Linked DNA regions of Arabidopsis thaliana. The protein of the gene in region 1 interacts with the protein of each later gene in a pairwise test. Each region holds a gene or a part of one and is shown on either strand. Other genes may lie near its edges. The genes, in order: MYB63, AT2G32020 and ERF14.

The links.
Region 2: the proteins of MYB63 (region 1) and AT2G32020 interact in a two-hybrid assay, tested with the Arabidopsis thaliana proteins (one large-scale study listed by BioGRID).
Region 3: the proteins of MYB63 (region 1) and ERF14 interact in a two-hybrid assay, tested with the Arabidopsis thaliana proteins (one large-scale study listed by BioGRID).

What each region holds. Positions count from the first base shown.
Region 1 is NC_003070.9:29,783,468-29,790,380, reverse strand, and holds MYB63 (myb domain protein 63), read right to left. Parts: upstream 3,887-6,913; 5' UTR 3,873-3,886; coding exon 3,505-3,872; intron 3,408-3,504; coding exon 2,792-3,407; 3' UTR 2,579-2,791; downstream 1-2,578. Other genes in the region: AT1G79190 (ARM repeat superfamily protein), read right to left, coding at 36-488, 570-659, 756-1,064, 1,182-1,362, 1,534-1,742.
Region 2 is NC_003071.7:13,628,677-13,635,244, forward strand, and holds AT2G32020 (Acyl-CoA N-acyltransferases (NAT) superfamily protein), read right to left. Parts: upstream 3,254-6,568; 5' UTR 3,069-3,253; coding exon 2,517-3,068; 3' UTR 2,304-2,516; downstream 1-2,303. Other genes in the region: AT2G32030 (Acyl-CoA N-acyltransferases (NAT) superfamily protein), read right to left, coding at 3,999-4,565; AT2G32040 (Major facilitator superfamily protein), read left to right, coding at 6,440-6,568.
Region 3 is NC_003070.9:1,170,564-1,177,000, reverse strand, and holds ERF14 (Ethylene-responsive element binding factor 14), read right to left. Parts: upstream 1,969-6,437; 5' UTR 1,825-1,968; coding exon 1,423-1,824; 3' UTR 1,233-1,422; downstream 1-1,232.

The DNA.
Region 1 (6,913 bases):
ATGTGTTGAACGTAGCACGAGAATAAATAGCTTACATGAGGAAATGTCTCACACAGCAGCTTATTTACGTGAGATGTAGTGCTATCTAACCATTTCTTCGTGCGTTCAACAAGAAAGGAGTCACGACTCAGATTCAGATTGGATTTTTCAGGTACATTGATGTTAACAATCTCTTGGTTTGTAATTTCTGTCAGCTCGTCACTCTGTCCTTGAGATTTTGTTGTCAGAGAACGAAGTTCGTCTAAAATTGAGTGTGCAGATTCATGTTTCTGCGACTTAGTATCACCATTAGAAATCTCGAGAGCCGATGAATTAGCCTCATCCTCAAGGACGATCATAAGAAACTCAGCTAACCCTCTAATTGCTTGGTCCAATGCATCAACACTTCCTGCAGCTCCGCTTATCATTGCTCTCGAAACATGCAACACTTTGAAAACTTGGCTAACAACACCAGGTAGAAAAAACGCCAACACATCAGCAGTACCAATCTGCAACAAGAAACATGTTCTCATTAGGACCCATGGGTGCCAGAAATGGTCCAAACCATATATGCATAATTTAAAAGTTACCTTAGCCACAAGTATCCGTAAAGCCATAAAGGCTTCAACTCGAAGATTTGCACTTCCTCGATGTCCTCGAGAAGCCTCAGCATCAGCGACCTTGTGGAGTGATCAGAATTGAAATACCTTAGAATGTATAAAACTACATGACTCCAGATGAAAGAAAAAAGAAAGCATAGGAGAAAAGAGGGTTACTTTGAGAAGAATGGAAAGCCAATGACCGACAGCAGCCAAAGCAGACTGAGACTGAAGAAATGCAAGCAAGCATTCACGAGTTTCAAAATCATACTTATAAGACTCTGAAACTTGAGTTTGATAATCTCTTCTATCTGACAGCTGAGGCCAGCCAACAGTGCGCTTACAAGAGCAAGAATCATCAGAGCATGGAAGCAGACCAGAGATCATTGCTCGGAAACATTTGACTATCCCTTCACGAAACTCTTCAGAAGCCTCAGATGGTGATAAAACAGCACCACTAGTTAACTTCTTCATAATTACAACCATCTGTACGGGGAAAAAATTCAACACAGTTCCATAACTAAGCTGAGAATATGTTACCCAAATCGAGTAAAGGTAGAAAACAATCATAAAAACGATTGTGAGAGTTCAAAACCAGCTCACCTGATCTATGGATCCAATGTGACATTTTTTTAGAAGTTCTTCGAGACAAGAGATTACACCTTCTGCTACTTTATCACTCACTCTATATGGTGTTTGTGGAAATTCCTCTGGCTTGTTTTGCCCCTGACTTCTGCAAGCAACTGCGGCGTCTAACAGAAGAAGCAATGGGAACAAAGTGTAGCTGAAACGTACATAAACCAAAACAGTTCTCACTAAGTAAACAGTCGACAATACACCACAAATGAACTCTTTTAAACCTTATAATTGAAACTGCTACTCATGTGCAGATTACCGTTTTTTCAGCAGAAAGAAGTAAAAAGATAAAGAGAAACGAGAAAAGTGGAATAATTACTGGAAGAAGGACTGGAGAGAGGACGGAGGAGTACGGCGGAGGAGAAGGAGCAAAGCAGGGATCGTGGTTGGATCCTTTTCAGGGTTTTGCGAAAGGTTTAGAAGCTCCAAGCAGAGAACTTTCAGTTGTGCGAAGACAGCTTCTCTTTCCGGGTCTCCCTCAACGTCGTCTCCATTGGTTTCACGGCGTATTACGACGGACTTGTCCATTGAATCCGATCAATTATCCCACCAAACTCGAAAATCTCGAGTCAGCAAACAGAGAGAGATAGAACCGCGAAATTGAAAAAGAAATGACCCGACCCGAGATTAATTGACCCGATCCATTGCTATTGGCCTTTATAGGTCGTCGTCGTCTCGAATAAAGACCGGGAAGATTTCCCCTTTAGGGTTTTAGGAATAAATGCAAAATAAACCTGATAATCTATATAGAATTGCAAACGAAACCTCATATTTTGTAAAGTATCGTACAAATGAACCGACATTATATTTAATAGTTATAAGAACCAGATTCTTTCGAATCAAATTAAACCAATCGGTTTAAACTTTCAAACTATAAACCGGAGTGTTAAAATGGGTATCCCAACCCAATTTGACTCAATTTTCCTTCACTTGAACCAGTGATAAAGAAGTTGAAAGTAGAAGTTAATTTCTTCTTCAAGTTACCTATATATTCTTATCAAGATCATATAATATTTCTTCAATTTCAAGAAAACTAAGATTTATCAGAAGCCATGGAAGACAAAACTGAGATCTATCTATATTAAGCTTCCAACTTTTTGTCTATCTCCAATGAAATTCAAGAAAACATTCGGAGATGCAACATTGTTGAGATTAGCTTCTTCTAATTCAGTTGCTTGCCTTAATTCGTTGATAAGTTCATAGTTATTGTTACTTCTTCTTCAGCAAAAAAAATAGCTGTTGAGGTTAATATATCTCCAAACAAGAGTAACTGGTCTTCATGTTTTGTCGTTTCCAGTTTCAAGATGGTTGTTAGATGATTGAGATTACTAAACTAATCCTACCAAATATTCTTCAATAATTTTCTTCAAGATTCTCTAAGACTAAAGAAAGAATCTTCCAGATATATAGTTTTAGACTTTTAGTATAGTGTGCATCTTTTGACCAGCTCTGTTTTATCTACAGGCTACTAAAAATAATGCCAATTAAAAAACTATAGGAAATACATTTTCTCTACTATCTCTCTACCTTTCCATCATACATATTGTCATATTGATATCCAAAATAAATATCTTTTATCAATGTATCATGAGCTCGTAGTTCTTCAAGAGTGATGATGATGATGATTCTTCTTCTTTGTATTGTTGTTGATTATCGTCTTCTTCTAACCCGAGTTCGCTTTCTAGGTGCTTGAACCATTTCTTAACCTCATCCTCATCAGACTCTTCTTCTGTTGTTGCTCTTGAGCCTGAGCTGTTCTCATTTGCAGTGGATTGTTGAAATGAGTTTGAAGTATCTAAGAAACTCCAAATGTCAGGATCTGAATCAAATGGTATCTCCAGCAGATCGGGTTTGTCTACCTCTTGAATAATAATGTCGTTAAACTCGCTATAAGCTTCTTCTATATACTCAAACCTGAGTTCGTCTATCTTTGGATCATCTTGTTGGTTGGAACCCCCAGAAGACATAGATGTAGACAACTCATTCCTATGATTAGTCTCTCTGTTCAAAGAATCTTCTACGTGAGATGACTTATCATCTTTCCCACGAGAAACAGAATCACTCGAACAAGGCGAGGCCGGTTCATCTGCAGTTCCTGAGCTCTGAGCCAGTCTTTTCTTTAGATGAGTGTGCCACACATTCTTGATCTCGTTATCTGTTCTACCTGGAAGTTGAGAAGCGATTTTCGACCACCTGATCAAAATGCAGAAAGCTTAATGTCAATATCAAATCACTTTTTTGATCCACCATATATGTATGAGCACAATAATAATCCTAGCTGATGATTTACTTGTTCCCATAGTTGTGGTGAAGCTTAATGATTGTTTCTTCCTCCTCTGAAGTGAAGTTGCCACGCTTCAGATCTGGCCTAAGATAGTTAATCCACCTTAGACGACAACTCTTCCCACACCTCAATAGCCCTTCATTTTTGCATATATATACATTCAGAATCATAAAGAAAAGAAAAAACAATTGAAGAGGCTTTTGCTTTGATTGTGATGACAAAAGCAATGACATACCAGATTGTTTGGGGAGAGATCTCCAGTTCTCATGACCAAACTTTTGAATGAAAGAGATGAGTTTAATGTCTTCTTCTGGGCTCCATGGACCTCTCTTCACTTTGGTCTTGTCACAACAAGGTGCTCTTCCCTTCCCCATTCTCTCTCTCTCACTCCCTCTCACTCCCTCTCTCCTCTATATATATAACTTTATATCACTCAGTTCCTGATGAGATTCACTTTTACCAAAGATAATTTGGTTCTGTTTTATATATATGAGAGGTAAGAGTGTGTGATCTTGACATGAGAAAAGATGAATATGTAAACAGAGGAATTGATAAATGTCAAATCAGATTTGTTGAGTGGGAAAAGGTTGTCTGTCTGTGGTATGGTTGATTATTTGGTATGATTCCATTTTCTCATTTTTACTTCATTTGGCATCCTTATGATGCATGCAACTTATCTTTCCTTCTAACACCGATGCATGAATATTTCACATTCGTTTTTAGAAACCAAAATCCTTAAATAATATTTTCTTCTTTTTTGACATCAAGTAATAATGGAAACTAGCATCTCGTGTTAAAAATATTATCAGATTTGACATATCTTATAAAATTGTCTGAAATAAATTTCGCTAATGTAAGAAACTACTACATGTCGACGAGTGTTAATTGAAATGGTCTTAGGAATTTACAGCGGTAATGATAAGAGTTTTATGTATTTCTTAATAAAAATACTTTGGAGGAGTAAGAATATATAGTTATAAAGTGGCAAAATATTAGGTAGTGTTTTGACTAAAATAAGATTGTAAATCTGCAACTTGTTAATTAAGAATTAGCTTAAGGTATACATAGGAGGAATTGATTATATTAGTTTTTGTCTGCGAGTCTTCTGTAATCAGGCTCAGTGTATAATTACCAACTTTTGAATAATAGATAGTCCCGTGATCATCATGTAGATACAGTGTAACACGAGAAAAATGAACTCTCACTAATAATGCTGTTTTACTAAGTACGCAGTCACTCCATACGTCACTCCATGGAATATTTTCATATTTTGTATACAAAAAAGCAGAAATATATATAATCCTTAAATATAACATTAAAATGAGAGACAGAAAAAAAAAAAAACTGTTAAAAAGTCATTTCTAATCACATCCGAAAACACCAAAAGGCGTAAGGAGTGTGTGTGAGCATAGTGCACGAACTCACCAAACTAAAGACCAAAGAGAGTGGAAGAGGTCAAAGACTTACGTCTTTTTGACTTTTTTAATGTTTGGTGGGTTTGGTGTTGTTGTTGGCTCTTGGCTACGTTAATTACTTAATTCCACCAAACCTTCATTACTTAATTAATTCCTCTGTACCCATCCAAAATTATTCAAGCAATTACGACACAGCCATCACTACATCTATTACTCCAAATATTTTAAAGTACTAAGTATCGACAATAATTGAAGTTAATAAACCCAACAATTTTGTTACGTTAACAAGCTCTTAGGAGGAATAGAGAGGAAAAGAGGTTTGAAAAAGAAGAAATATTTTTCACTAGGGTAAATATCTGGACGTATATGTATTGAAGTTACAAAATGATTAATTCGGAAAATTTTGTCGATAAAAGTCTATAGGAGCAACATATATAAATGACGATCTATTAGTTTTGCATTTTTATACGACTCTTGGTAATCAGAAGGTTGGTGAACAAACAAGTATGAGTGGGAAAACTTTCCCAAACTTTACTAAGAAAAAAAGGACAACTATGAGTGGAAAAAATTAAATTAAATTTTCAACGTCCCTATGGAGTATGGACCTTATCAAAACGATGGAAACTGTGACATTAATTAAGTAGAATAAAATTAAAAAATTATGTAAACTTATGATGAAAGAACACATGTTGCTATTAGTAATACATACGTCAATATCAATTTCGAGTGTACTGACTTTAAAGTTCAGATTTTAGCTATTGGAATAAAGCTCTGCATGTGTATGTTTTGTGTGATCATAATAGGGACACATATTAATATATATCAACTATTTATATAAGACTATATATACATAAATATGCTTCGCTTTTTGCGTTTGTTATTGTATTATTGTTTAGGAGATATAACACCTTATCTAATAAAAACAAATTCTCGATTTAGAAAACAACTCATGCGCCAAAGATTTACCCATAAAAGAGTCCAATCTTTCAAAAATGCTAGAAGTTTAGAATTCATGACTAGATATACTAACGAAAACAAGTAATTTTGATTTTTGTAAGTAAGTTTTAAAAGGGAAATACAATTAAATCATAATTAAAATGATCTGATAATCACCTAAACAAGATTTTTCCAAGAGACCAAATAAGACACCTAATCTTGAAAAAAATAGAGATCTCAAACAATATTATCCATCCTTGGGTTGGGTTGGTAGGACATTTGCTTAACAGTGATGGTTACTTTTTTCCTGATCACCTAACTAATCACACTCATTAGGTCCAAGCACAGTGCTAACATTTCCAAATTAAATAAAATAACGCCATAATATTCAAACATAGATAAATCATGAGATTCATGACCCAAAAAACTCAAAAGGTAAGCAGATAAAATCAATGATTACGCATGCATGACGCACATGTATTTGTTATGGGATCTATTTCAACAGAAATGTGTTGGTTAATATTTTAGGTTTTTTTTTTTAGTAATCAGAATATCTTTATATTAATCTCCAAAGCATGCGAATACCATATAAAATATTATTATATACGGTCAACCATAATTAAGATTTGAACGTAAGCAATTATTCAACTACTAGATCACTGTATATGGACCATATAATGGTTAATATTTTGGTATTTAATTTATTACCCGATAATTAGGTAATTATTCGATATAGTAACCGTCAGTAATTATTACATGACACAACTCGTTAACGTGATATTTAATAAAGACCTCTCATTTCTCTCCATATTAGAGTTGTTTATTTTCGAAAATGGAGTACATAAACATCTCATGCACCAGTTTAAAAGGGACGATAACATGCGGGAAGATGTAGTTGGGCCGGATTTCGTAGATACTGGGCTAAAAATACTATAAACGGGCCTGTCTATTTTTTAATTCTTTTAATTTTGGTAGAAACGGGCCTGTCTAATTGAAAACGTTAGTTTTAACTTTTAAAATTAGAATGAACTAATAACTGAAAATACTTGATCTTTTTTTTTGCT
Region 2 (6,568 bases), on another chromosome or scaffold:
TAACACAAAGGAAACAAATAACAGGTTGGTCCAACTTCTCTTCCTATGTCTGTTTCCGGTTCGGTTTCGATTGATTTTAACGGTTGAATTTCCGGTTTACAGGTGTATAAAGGATTGTAATTTTGTCTTGGTTAATAGAATTTCGCATATCAAACCGGTTCTTTCATTTATCATGTCAGGAGTAGGAGTTAAAAGTAAATTTTACAGTGTAGGTAATAATTAATTTGTAATCACAATTTAATTCAGTTTGATTCTACTCATAAGGTAACAACAGTTTAATAAAACTTGTTTTTGTGCAGGATTATTAAACTGACAGATGGAAGGTTTTTTTTAGTTCTTCATCAGTCTTTTTAGGGATAGTTTTTGATAATATTATTATTGTAAATTGAAGTGTGTTCCCGAGACAATGATAGTGTAATGCTTGTTGTATAAGTAAGATTTAGCCGTTTAATAAGTGTAACAAAAATACTATACAGCAAAAGCAATTATTTCATTCATTATGATAGTTTTCTTACAAAGGAAAAGTGAAAAGAATAAAAAGATAACGTCTTGTGATGATCTTTGTACTGAAAAAGTTAGGGCTTCTTGATAACCTCGAAGCTCACTCATTCTCTGATTCTATGTATTGGAATACAGAAATTCAATGATTAGTTTTATTTTTTCTGCAATCTCATAAAGAGTTATAATTGTAAGCAATTAGTCAAAATATCAACATTCAAATACCTTTGCATTATTTTTTGTAGCACTGCGTGCAAAAGGTTTAATAATTTTCAATCATTAGTTTGAGTATATAAGCTGTAATTTAATCAGATGAAATTTGTATATTATGTTTTGAAATATTAAAGGTAAGAGAGAGAATAGTGTAAAGATGTGAATGTAGAATGAAATGATTGAAAAAGAGTATGAAAGTGCAGAGAGTGTATTGTGTAATCTCATGCTTTTCTCTTTTTCCTATTTGCTCATGCTTTCTCTTGTTTCAGCTTTCGTGATTACAACAACACTTCTAAATTCCCTTTTTTTTTGGGTTATTTATTTTAAACCCAAATTAAAAATAAAATAAAAACATTCTTGTACAATGTGAAGTGAGACAATGATCAGCTCTATTTTTTTTTTCATGAAAACCCCTATTTTTACCTAACATTAACAAATAAATAAAAATGGAATGGAATATGTGGTCCAGAACAAGAAGTGTATATCGAAATGATTTACTTAAATACCTTTAACTATTACTCCAATCCTATTAAAATTAAAGTCCATCAGCTATGATTTACAGGAGTGGACATTCTGATATTTTATCTAATTCGATAAATGTTGCGGTTCATTCCAAATTTGTACCTATTTAAAGGTAAAATATCTATATAGTCTTATCGAATTTTGGAGCTAAGATTATTTTTAATTCCTAAAAACATATGTTTAGTGAGCTAGTTAGTAAATGAATCTAATTTTTTTGTTGGTTAACAGAAAATATCACATACTTACATAGTGATTTCAAATACTAATAAATTGTTTCATACTATATGCGTATATCCTATATGGACTGACTGGTCAGACATATTGAACGGAGTGGAGTCTTTATTCACATAACCTAAAAATAACTTTTTTTGATATGCATGTGTATCTATAGGCCAAATATATTTTAGTTCTACCACAGAAGTTAAAATAAATTGTATTAGTAATATATTTAGTCCTTTGAAAGTGGGAAACGAAATTAGCCTCACACAAGCACAGTGATGATTGATTTCTTCTTCTTTTTTTTACCCAAAAAAATCCATTTTTTCTTGTAATTTCTTATTTCCAGATTATTTTCTTCATAACAAAAAAAAAAGAAAAGAAATTGCTCACTTCACTTCTCACTAGATTCTTTATAACGAAACCTCCACTACACGGGCCCTAAATTTGGGCCACATGGGCTTCTCTCTTAACGAATTACGCACGAGTAAACTTCATTTTTCCAACAAGAAGAAGAAACTCAGGGGAATCTAAAGATTGTTTACTTTAATTTAAGAAATATGGAGAAATCATAATAAATTAATTACGTACTACTTATAGTAAATTTGTTGAATTACATAAATTCATAATTCAAATTTTACAAATACTTTTAATATCCTGTGTTATTTTAACAAAGCTGGTCTGGCTCTTAAGTTCTCATCCCAAGGACCATGGGATGTTTTGCTTTTTTTTTCTTTTGCTTGTTGGATGAGTATGTGAACCTTTTTATGGATACAGGACGAATCCCATTGTTTTATTTACATTCTACATTATTCGTTTATACGCTTCTATTAACCTTTGATTTTTAAAACTCTTCTCTACCTATCAATTTGTAATCGGATGATCCCTCTAACCTCACTTCTGTCTCATGCACTGACTTTAATTGTTTCGTAATTTACAATGTAGGATTTATAGATTTTTTTGGCAAATGAAAAACAGAGTGTTTACATCATGTATTACGTATATGAATCATACACTAAATCCAACATATATATGTAGAATTGCTAATTAATCTTTTTGTTGATTAATTACTTCAAAGTATCAGTAGACAAGAAACTAAACATAACAGTGTCTCTTACACTTCCCTTGATACATATAAACTTCCTCATCACACCTTCTCTAGTAAACCCAACTTTTTCAAGAACCCTTTGAGATCCAACATTGTCCACATCAACAAGTGCCTCAAGCCTTTCAATCTCTGGAAATTCCTCGAATACCTCCGCGGTCACTAGCCTCACTGCTTCCGTGGCAAACCCTTTTCCCCAATACTTTCTCGCTAGGACATAACCAATCTCTTTTCTGATGTTATCAACCGCCATGATCAAGATGTAGCCGATTGGACGGTCGTCTTCTAAGCAGATGGCTCGGAGCCAAGGGTGTGTCAGGACACGATCGGTTATGTATTTGATAGCTTCGTCTCGGCTCGTGCAAGGCTCCCAAGTGCAAAATCGAGCCACTTTAGGATCTGTGGCCCAAACCATGTAGTCATCGACGTCGGAAAGAGTCATCGGCCGGAGAGATATTCTTCCCGGAGGCGAAGAGCTCATTATTGGATTAGTTTCTTCTGAGTCCATCTCCATTTAGGATTAGTGATTGTTTTAGATATCATATCACTACGTCTAAGCGATGTCTTTATACACATCGCGATCTTGAAAAACTTTGAGATTCTCCCTTATTGCTTTTGACTAAAAAAACACTAAATATTACCATTTGCTATAGATAAGTGTATTTAGTGTTAAATATACGACATAAGATGAGGTGTCATCGTGTGAGTGGATAATTGTCTATATTTGACCTTGGACTTTCGACACTTACTTGGTTGCCAAACAAAGTATTGTTCTGGTTTCGGAACTTAATGTGTTGCTTCCAGTTGGATGCCCACAATGCCACGTGTCAAATCGTGTGTGGTCTGATTCCCAAAAAGGATTTAACTGTTTCTCAAGTTATTCTAAATGGATTAAATATTTTAATACTGTTAATATTTGTGGTGCAAATGATCGTAATCGTTTGTTATATACTGTCAAAATCAACTCAAGAATCAAGTCACTCAACATGTTGTATGATTAAGTAATTTAGCTAAAGATTAATTAATCGAATGTTATCAGAATTCCATTCATCTATCGCTGTAAAACTAGCTATCACACTATCTTTTTATTGTATAAAATATTTCATGTTTAGATTCAAAAAGAAAATATATATATATATATCATGTTTCATTTTGTACTTTTAATTTTCAATATAAACTTACATTTTTTCTGAGATAGTGAAGCTTTGTTTTATTTGGTGAAGTGAACATGGTAAATAGTAAATACATTACTCTCAAATTATAAAAAATAACTTTTGTATGAAATAGTTAATATATAAGGTTACAACTAACAATTACATAAGAAGAAGAAAGATAGAGCATCACATCAAATTATACATGTGATTTTTACAAACTAAGCAAAATATAAATTTCGACATCAAACAAACTTAATATATATATTTGATATTTGTTAATTCAAATCAGATCAGTGCAACGAATCAGAAGGCAAGAAACTAAACATGACCATATCTCTAACATTTCCTTTAAGATACATAAATTTCCTCATCACACCTTCTTTCACAAACCCAACTTTTTCAAGAACCTTTTGAGATCCAACATTGTCAACGTCAACAAGTGCCTCAAGCCTCTGCATCTCTGGCTTCTCCTTGAATATCTCCCCCGCCACAAGCCTCACCGCTTCAGTGGCGATCCCTTTCCCCCAATACTTGCTTCCGAGGACATAACCAATCTCTCCTCTGATCTCATCGACTGGCGTTACGGAGATCGAGCCAATCGGACGGTCGTTATCTAAGCATATAGCTCTAAGCCAAGGGTGTGGCAAAAGAGCGTCGTTTAAGTACGCGATCGCGGCTTCTCGGCTAGTGTAAGGCTCCCACGTGCAAAAGCGTGTGACGTTTGAGTCAGTGGCCCAAACCATGAAATCGTCGACGTCGGAAAGAGTCATTGGCCGGAGATGGATTTTCTCCGGAGGTGAGGAACTCACGGTGGATAGGGTCTCCGGTTTGATCGTAGTAGTTGAGTCCATCTCCATTGACTTTTTCTTGGTTACTTTCCTTTTTGAGTCTTTGAAGCTTCTTTGGGATTCTTTAAAATAAATTATCTCTCTCAATTCTTACAGATTTGTGTAGAGGCATTATGATAATACTTCTTCTACAAATCACGATTTAAATACTGATTTTTTTTTAACAAAAAAGAAAATAAACAGAACGTTCCTTCTTGCTTCGATCGGTCAAATACGCAACAATTAGTTCTTGTTGAATGGAAGGTGTGAAAAAGACGGTTTATAATGGGTATGGGTGAACCGTATATTTACCATCCATTCATCGTTTTTGATTTAAAAGAGGTATATTCAATCTAGTATTTAAAGTGACTTTCGTAAATTTTACAAGTATATGTTATTTAATTATGGATTTTGAAAATTCTAATGAAATCTAGTGTTATTAAAATAATAATTTAAAAATCTACCTTTAAATTCACTGTTATTAAAAATAATTTATGGATTTGATTTTTATAAGAATGTATTCAATCTAATATTTTAAGTGATTTGTGTAAAATTTATAAATTCTATGTTGTTCGATTATGGATTTGAAAAACTTTAATGAAATCTAGTATTATTGAACTAAAGATTTAAAATTCTATCTTAAAATCTATTGTTATTGAAAATAATTGGTAGATTTGATTCTTATTAATTTTGAAGGATTTGAGAAAGTTCTTTAGTTAAAAATAACAAAATCGAAATTCATGGTCTTATATAGAATTTTAAAATATTTTATAATAAATCACATCAATTTTCCTAAAATCATCAAACTCATATAAAAACTAGCTAAAACTCAAATTGTAAGGTCCAAATTAATGAGTCAACTCAACTCAACTCAACTCAATCCATGAACCCTAATGAGTTGAAAATTTTGACTCAAATGAGTTGATGAGTCAAATGAGTTGATGAGTCAATTGGTTTGATGAGTAAAATGAGTTGGGTTGTAATGGTTAATGGTTTCAATGGTTTATCCAATTAACCCATCAAATTTTGTAAAATTGAATTAAACCAACTAAAATCTCTAAACCAATGCCAATTTAAGTCTAACCAACACATCTAAACCAATTTAATAAAATTAATATTTTTCCAAATTTCTTAAATATACAAGCGATGAAATTGAGAAAAAGTAAACCCGTAATTTTTCCGCCAAAAACGTAAATCCGTGATTTTCCCGCCAAAAACGTAAATCCATGATTTTCCCGCCAAAAACGTAAACCCGAGATTTTCCCGCCAAAAACGTAAACCCGTAAAAAGTGGAATCCGTAAATATATTAAGTTTTGATGATAATGAATTAATAATGATAATTATTTATTATTATTTTATAATAATAATTAATTAAATTATTACTTAAATGGGTTAACCCATTTAACAACTCAACCCATTAAATTAAATGAGTTATGGGTTGACTTAACCCATTTAACAAAATGAGTTGGATCAACCCATAACTCATTTAACCCTAAACTCATTTGATTATGAGTTGAGTTGAGTTGTGTTACCCATTTTGACACACTTAGATCTAATACACCTCTTTATTAATTTTAAAGGATTTGAGAAAATTTAAAAAGATTTATTTAGTTACATATATAAAAATTCAAATCTCATATTTTTACTGGAATTTGATTTTTTTTTTTTACAATAAATCACATAAAAAGACATTAAAACTCAAAATTATTTAAAATATAAGGTTCAATACATATTTTGTCAATAAAAATTTAATAAGCTGCTAATATAGTTCATGAGAAAAATCAAAAATTAATTTATCAATCGAAAAAAAAGACGAAGAAAAATTAATTTATCTACGTAGCGCAAGAGACGGAGTGTTGTTTATTTAAAGAAAAGAAAGAAAAAAAAAAGAACGAATATTAAAATGGCGAGTCGCTCTCTTTTCTCTATCTCAATCTCACCTTCTCAATTTACAGTTTTGCCATCCATCAACAACGAGAGACGACGCCTTGCTATCGCCGCTCGATCTCACCGACTATCACGCCGGAAGATT
Region 3 (6,437 bases), about 29 Mb from region 1:
TAAGAAACAAATGGTGTGTGTGTGTGTATTTGTTGAAACATGTGTGGTTTATATTGGATCTTTAGATTCAAACTTTGTTTACTTACTCTTCTCGAGGCTCCGTGGATTCAACAATCTTTATCAAGAAATTTGATCGAATTGTAACTAGTCAGAGCATCAGATTAGTACCTGTCTAAGGCTTTAATATATTCCCCTAGGGTTTCGTAATGATTCAAGAACAAGCAAAAACGCACTCGTCGAAACAATTACATACCTCGACGAGACTCAGGGTCAACACGGTTCTCCGATTTGACCTATGACCTATCGGCGGCGGCGAGAAGGGGTTTCAGGTGATTAGACTAGAAGGTTTGACTGACGGTGGCTAACCGCCGGTGGGCCCAGAAGCTACGACACCATTGAAGCAATCAAAGAAAAGATTGGTGGGGACGAAAAGGGTTTCTGTGTTATAAGCCGAGCCCGCATTATTTTAAGTTAAAAGTTAGTGCAACTGAACCAAATTTATTTATTCATGTTTGTATGTAAACTATGTTTTTTTTTACTATATTTTTATTAAATTGTATTTTATCATTTTAATTTTAATTAAAAACTTCTATATAATTTTCCAACTAAAATGTTTTTTTTTGTTATATTAATATTTTTATCTTGGGACGGAAAACAAAAATTAATGCCTTTAAAGTATATGGTTCTAGCTTCTATGGTGATCCTGATTCCTGATAGAAGCATGGAATTAACGCCGAAGTCTCTCATCTCATCTTCATGGCCGTGTGGTGTGGGTGATTTTCTTTCTCCACGTATTTATATTTTGTCTTTAAAAACTCATCTATCAACTCAATGAATTATTGTCCCCACAAGTTACTAAACTCATCAGTTGCTTATAAAAACTATTTTCAAAATGTACATGTATATATGCGTCTACATATGCCTTTCCAGTATAATTCATGAATGGAAGAGCAATAACAAGCAATGGTAAGATGAATTCCATATTTCAAACGTATAACACAATGTACTTGTACATGCTGGTAGTTATATTAATTAGAGCGATGTAATAGGTTATATTGATATCTTATAAATTTACTTTGATTTATTTTAAAACGTTTAAGCTCGTTTAGATGAATCACAAGAAGGTAACAAATATATCAAATCATAATTACACGTCACAAAACATAAAAGAATATGTTTCACATAATCATTATTTTCATTAATATTTTCTCAAAACTAATTGCACAAGGAACCGTTTGAACTTTGAAGTTCAAGAAACTAAGATGACCCGCTTAAAGAATCTTATTCGTTACAGAAATCGATTGACAATTACACTTCATGCCAATAATTGAAACAGCTTTGTACGCTTGGGATTTTATTTTATTTGTTATAACTGAAAATGGTCTTTCACATAACTTTCAGTTAATACCGATTGTATTCCCTTTATTGCCTCTTGCCCATGTTGATATTATGAGTCTTGTTATAGTTCTCTCCATATTCAAGAAGTTCATCCAAAACGCTATCGTCCAAGTACTCAAACTCAAAAACTTGCTGCGACGAGGAAGAAGAATTAGCCGCAGTGGATGAGGATCCGGTTCCCATGTTATACTCGTGAGGGAAGTTGAGAATGGCAGCTTTGCCTCTCATTGAATAGGCGGCTCGGTCATAGGCTCGAGCCGCGTCTTCCGCAGTGTCGAATGTCCCTAGCCACACACGCTCTCCGTGCTTCCTCGAATCTCTTATTTCCGCGGCGTATTTACCCCAAGGTCGTCTCCTTACTCCACGGTACTTCCCTTGCTCGGCTCCTCCTCCTCCACTACCACTGCTACGACCTCCTTGATCCATATATCTGTGTATGTGTATATACTGTTGTGCGTCAGAAGAGAGACCAAGTGACAAAGAATAATAAGAAGAATTGGATGTTCTAAGAGTTGGAAACGGACACAAGATGTAGCGTCTGTTTTTTTTTTTTTGTCTTTGTGTGTGTTTTAATTTTGCATGGATTAAATGAGATTTGATTTGTGGAATTTATAGGCAAGGAAACAAGTGGGTCCATCAACCTAATATTCGAAGTTCGAAAAACTCCACTTATGAAAATTATGTAGATGTTCTTTAGACCTTTTTTCTCCTTCAACATAGATGTTTCTCATAAAATAAATTTTCTTTTTCTTTTTCTTTTTTCATTTTTTTATAATAGATTTTATTTTGAGAATTTTGTATTTTACATATATGTACAATTTTTTATGGCTATAATAATATACATGTATGGGGTTTCGGAAATGTACAACATTAATAATATGGTAAGAATCATGTGCAACAAAAATATAAAACAATTTTTTGTTATATCCTTGAAATTATTATATTTTGCGTTTATATTTTACATTATATCTAAATTATTAAATATTTATATCTAAATAGAGCTTATAAGGTTTAACTCAAGTTGAACTTTTGCAAAAAGTAGGAAATTTATGATAAAATTAGACAGTCTCTTGAACTAATTATTATAGAAAACTATATTTGTATGGTATTTTTTGGCAACAGCAATGGAATTTTATGTTACCAAAAATATGATGTGTACTGAATAAAAGAGTTGATTGGAGGACCCATAGGAATATGTTTGACTTGGGACTTCGTTAGTGCCCACGTGGGTTGACTCTCAAAACCGACTCAGAAGCTTTCGTTGGACCATAATAAATTTTTTGTTTAATACAGAATCTACGTGTGGGGGTCTAAGTTCTTGACATGACTTTACATTTTGGAGAATTTTTTCCTTCTAGATATATTTTCACATCAATTAATTTTTATTGAATAATTTGCAGTAGATTAGATCAATTAACTTTTCTTAACATCAAGTTTACGAACATACCACTAACGAAGAAGAACAAAAACGTTTACTAAGTACATTGAATCGGCCTTGAATTGTTTTCAAATTATGCATATATTCTACATAAAGCTGGAAATTCATTACTTATTCTACCTTAAAAGAAAATATAAGATTTTGTTTTTCAAAATGTCGTATAAAAAATTGAGCTAAATATTAATCGCTAAAATTTTTTATGACATTTGAACTACTTTCTCCATCTTTGCCAACGTACGGTACCTGAAATCTCTAGAAATTTGATCGAATCAAATGTTGGTTGCGTTTGTAACTTTGTATATGCATTGAACAAATAAAAGTTTTTATATTAGTAAGAAATGTTTGTAAGTTGTGAACGCAAATACAAAAGGTATTCGCAATTTGATTTTATGCTTTGGAAATCACGCTTCCCATGTACGATAATCTACATTTTTGTTTGTATTTAAAAGCATTAATAAGATATCATATTTTCATTAAATATAATCACACCATTTAGTCCTCTAAAATATACAAAACCAAAAAAAGTAGTCAGCTTAGAATCAAGTAATTTGTAATTGCCTTATACACACTACAGTATATAGTTGTTAACTGAAAAACAAGAATCAACAGCCTATAATACCTTACATACTCTAGAATCTGAATCTTTTAACTTAAATATACGACTTCGTTGAGCCAACAAATATAACTTTCTTTAGTTAGCTAGGTCCACAAAATTAATCGCTAAAGTTCCATAAATATAACAATAGATGTCACAGTCAATAAGAAACTTATACGGAAGGACTTCGTATAAGTGAACATTCCATAAATAGTATCTTTCACCCGTAAATCTCAGATATTTTACTGACACTATACTCTGTCGAAATTGACTTTTATAAACCTATTAGCCTAATCGTCACGTGGGCTTTTCTAATAAGTCATTAACGTTAAGTCAGTTGAAATAAGGATAACGACATGTCCAATGTACCTAGTTGATCATAAATTCATCATCATGGTCACAATGTACCTACTTCTTCAAGTTTTCTTTTTGTTACCTTTTTAAAAATATATATTTTAAAATACACTAATTGGCCCTTTTTGGCTGCTCCTAATATTGGATTCGATCTTATAGGTGTCCGTACATATTCGAAGTCTTTTTTTTTAGACTAGAAAACAAAGTTTTGGAGTTCCCTTTCCTTCTTTGTTCTTCTATCATATCTGAGTTCCTTTCCCTTTCAATCACATTAAAATAATGATTACGATTTTATTATGTCGTTTAAATCTGACTTGCCTTTGACTTTGAATCGGTCCACGACAAATATTTTTTTGGTAAGTTATGACAATTGTTGTAGTGCCTGTATATTTTTTTTAAAAATGCTTAAACTGTCGCATAAATGCGACCAAAAAATAAAATACTGTCGCATTAATGTTTTATTTTGGATAAACCGAGTCTATGAACAAACAAACCAAAACAACCGAAAACTGGGCGACAAAAAAACAACAACTGAAAACTGATTTTGTTGAAAATTCTCGGTAGACGGTAACAAATATCATCGAAAACCTACTGTACTTCAAAACTTCCTTGTTCCAAAAAACAAAAAACAAATCTAAGGATTCTTTTATATTTGAAAAAGAAATTTAAAATAGAGCCTGATTGAAAATAATTATTATTATTCAATTGTTCATTTTTTTTCTTATCTTCAATATACATTTCCGACGTCTTTCTTGAATTGAAAGGAGAGATGAATCTACGTTTATTCAACAATAAAAAGAATTAAATTTAAGAAGATTGGAATTAACGTCTATTCTATTGTAAATTAATAATCTCTGGGAAAAAGAAGATTGTGTGGTTTCGATTGATATAGAATCAGAATCTATATTGTTGTCGCCATTACGACTAGTGTAAGTAAGGGCTCTCGAGGTTGGGGACAACATATAGCTAGAACTAAAGTCTTTTTATGTCTTCGTGCATGAACCTACCAATTGAATAACATAGAATCTATAGTAAAAGGTTTATTTCAGAACAAGAACCCTAACATATAGATGAAGCTTTTAACTAAAGGTTATAGAATATCAAGGATTTATGGGTTAATCTATTTCTTTTACCAAAATCGATAATACGTTGACCAATTTTTTGGATAATCTTCGATCAATTACAGCGGAGTTCCAATGGAACAGAATTTATTAACTATATTTTTATAATTAGCACTATAAATAAGAAATTTATAGTTTAAGTACCTTTTAACTTTCATTCTTTTAATTTGAGAACAAAAATAACTTTAATGAACTCAAAGATATTCATACAATATTATGTATGGTTAATATTAATGCTACACATTATTATTTTCAAGATGACATACACTAGTTTCATTTTAAATATATTTTAAAATTGACACAGTTTATTTTCATTTTAATAGATTGACATAATCTTTGCACACTGAATATATGATGGCCCAGCCCAAGTTCACTCGTGACCCACATATGGTCCACGCAGCTGCCCAAAATGGGTCTAGAAAAACTAATGGAAGAATGGCGAAACATAATTGTTTTTTTTCCTGTCAACGAATGGAGAAAGAGAAAGTGAAACAAGTGAAAGCATTTTTTTTTACAGTTCTCTTTTCTGGTAAAGCATTTTTTTATCTTTTTTTTTTGTTGTCATCAGCATTTATTTATGGTTGTTCAAAAAAAATAAAAAAAATTATGGAAACAGAACAGACGATAGAACAAATTACATCACATTATTCAATTTTACACTAAAGAAATTAATTTTATTTTTGTAACATCTTGCTTTATTTTATTAAAATGAAAACAGAGATTACATAGTTATTTCTTAGACATACACATAAAACCAAAAATTGATTAAAATTTAAGAAATTAATTAACTAGATAATTTAAGTTAAAAAAATTGTTTTTTGTAAATTGTGTCTCATTAAATTATAGGATGTTTTGACTCGCACACATATCAATGGTTCAAAACGTTGACCCCAGATTGGTTTCTTTAAATGGTAAAGTAAAAGTCAACCTTTAGTTTGAGATAATAAAATTTAAAAGCCAATTAATTTTCTTTTGAAATTTATTTACAATTTCTTGTTATGAGATCTACATTATTATATACAGTAACACTCAGTTAGATATTAATCTCTTGTATTTAGCCAAACCAAAAACCATCGGATCAATGCATAAGTTTTGGAATTTCTAGTAATTTATTTCCAGTTAAGTATGTTTTTATAGTGTAGCGTAGGGCTAGAAGACGATCCTGATCAATGCAACTAATAGAATCTCGAACATCAAAACAAAACAAAGAAAATTATAGAGATCGAGTTCATATCTCGGAGCGACGTGTATCGATGATGGTCTGACGCACACACGTGACCGACCAAGCATCACGTGCTGCTGAATGCTGATCCATCTCACCGTTGCTGTGTTGACCTGAGTCGTCGACGTGGCGCATGATGATGATCCTCAGGACCTCATTCTTAAAAGAGTAGTCTATAGTCAAAGTCAATTGTTAATGCGGAAACAAAATTCTACTATATTAATGAGATGCCTAGATTTCTTTTTTCATATTAGTTTTGAATTGTACAAATAATTGGATTCTAGTAAAATCCTCCCAAAATTGAACCAA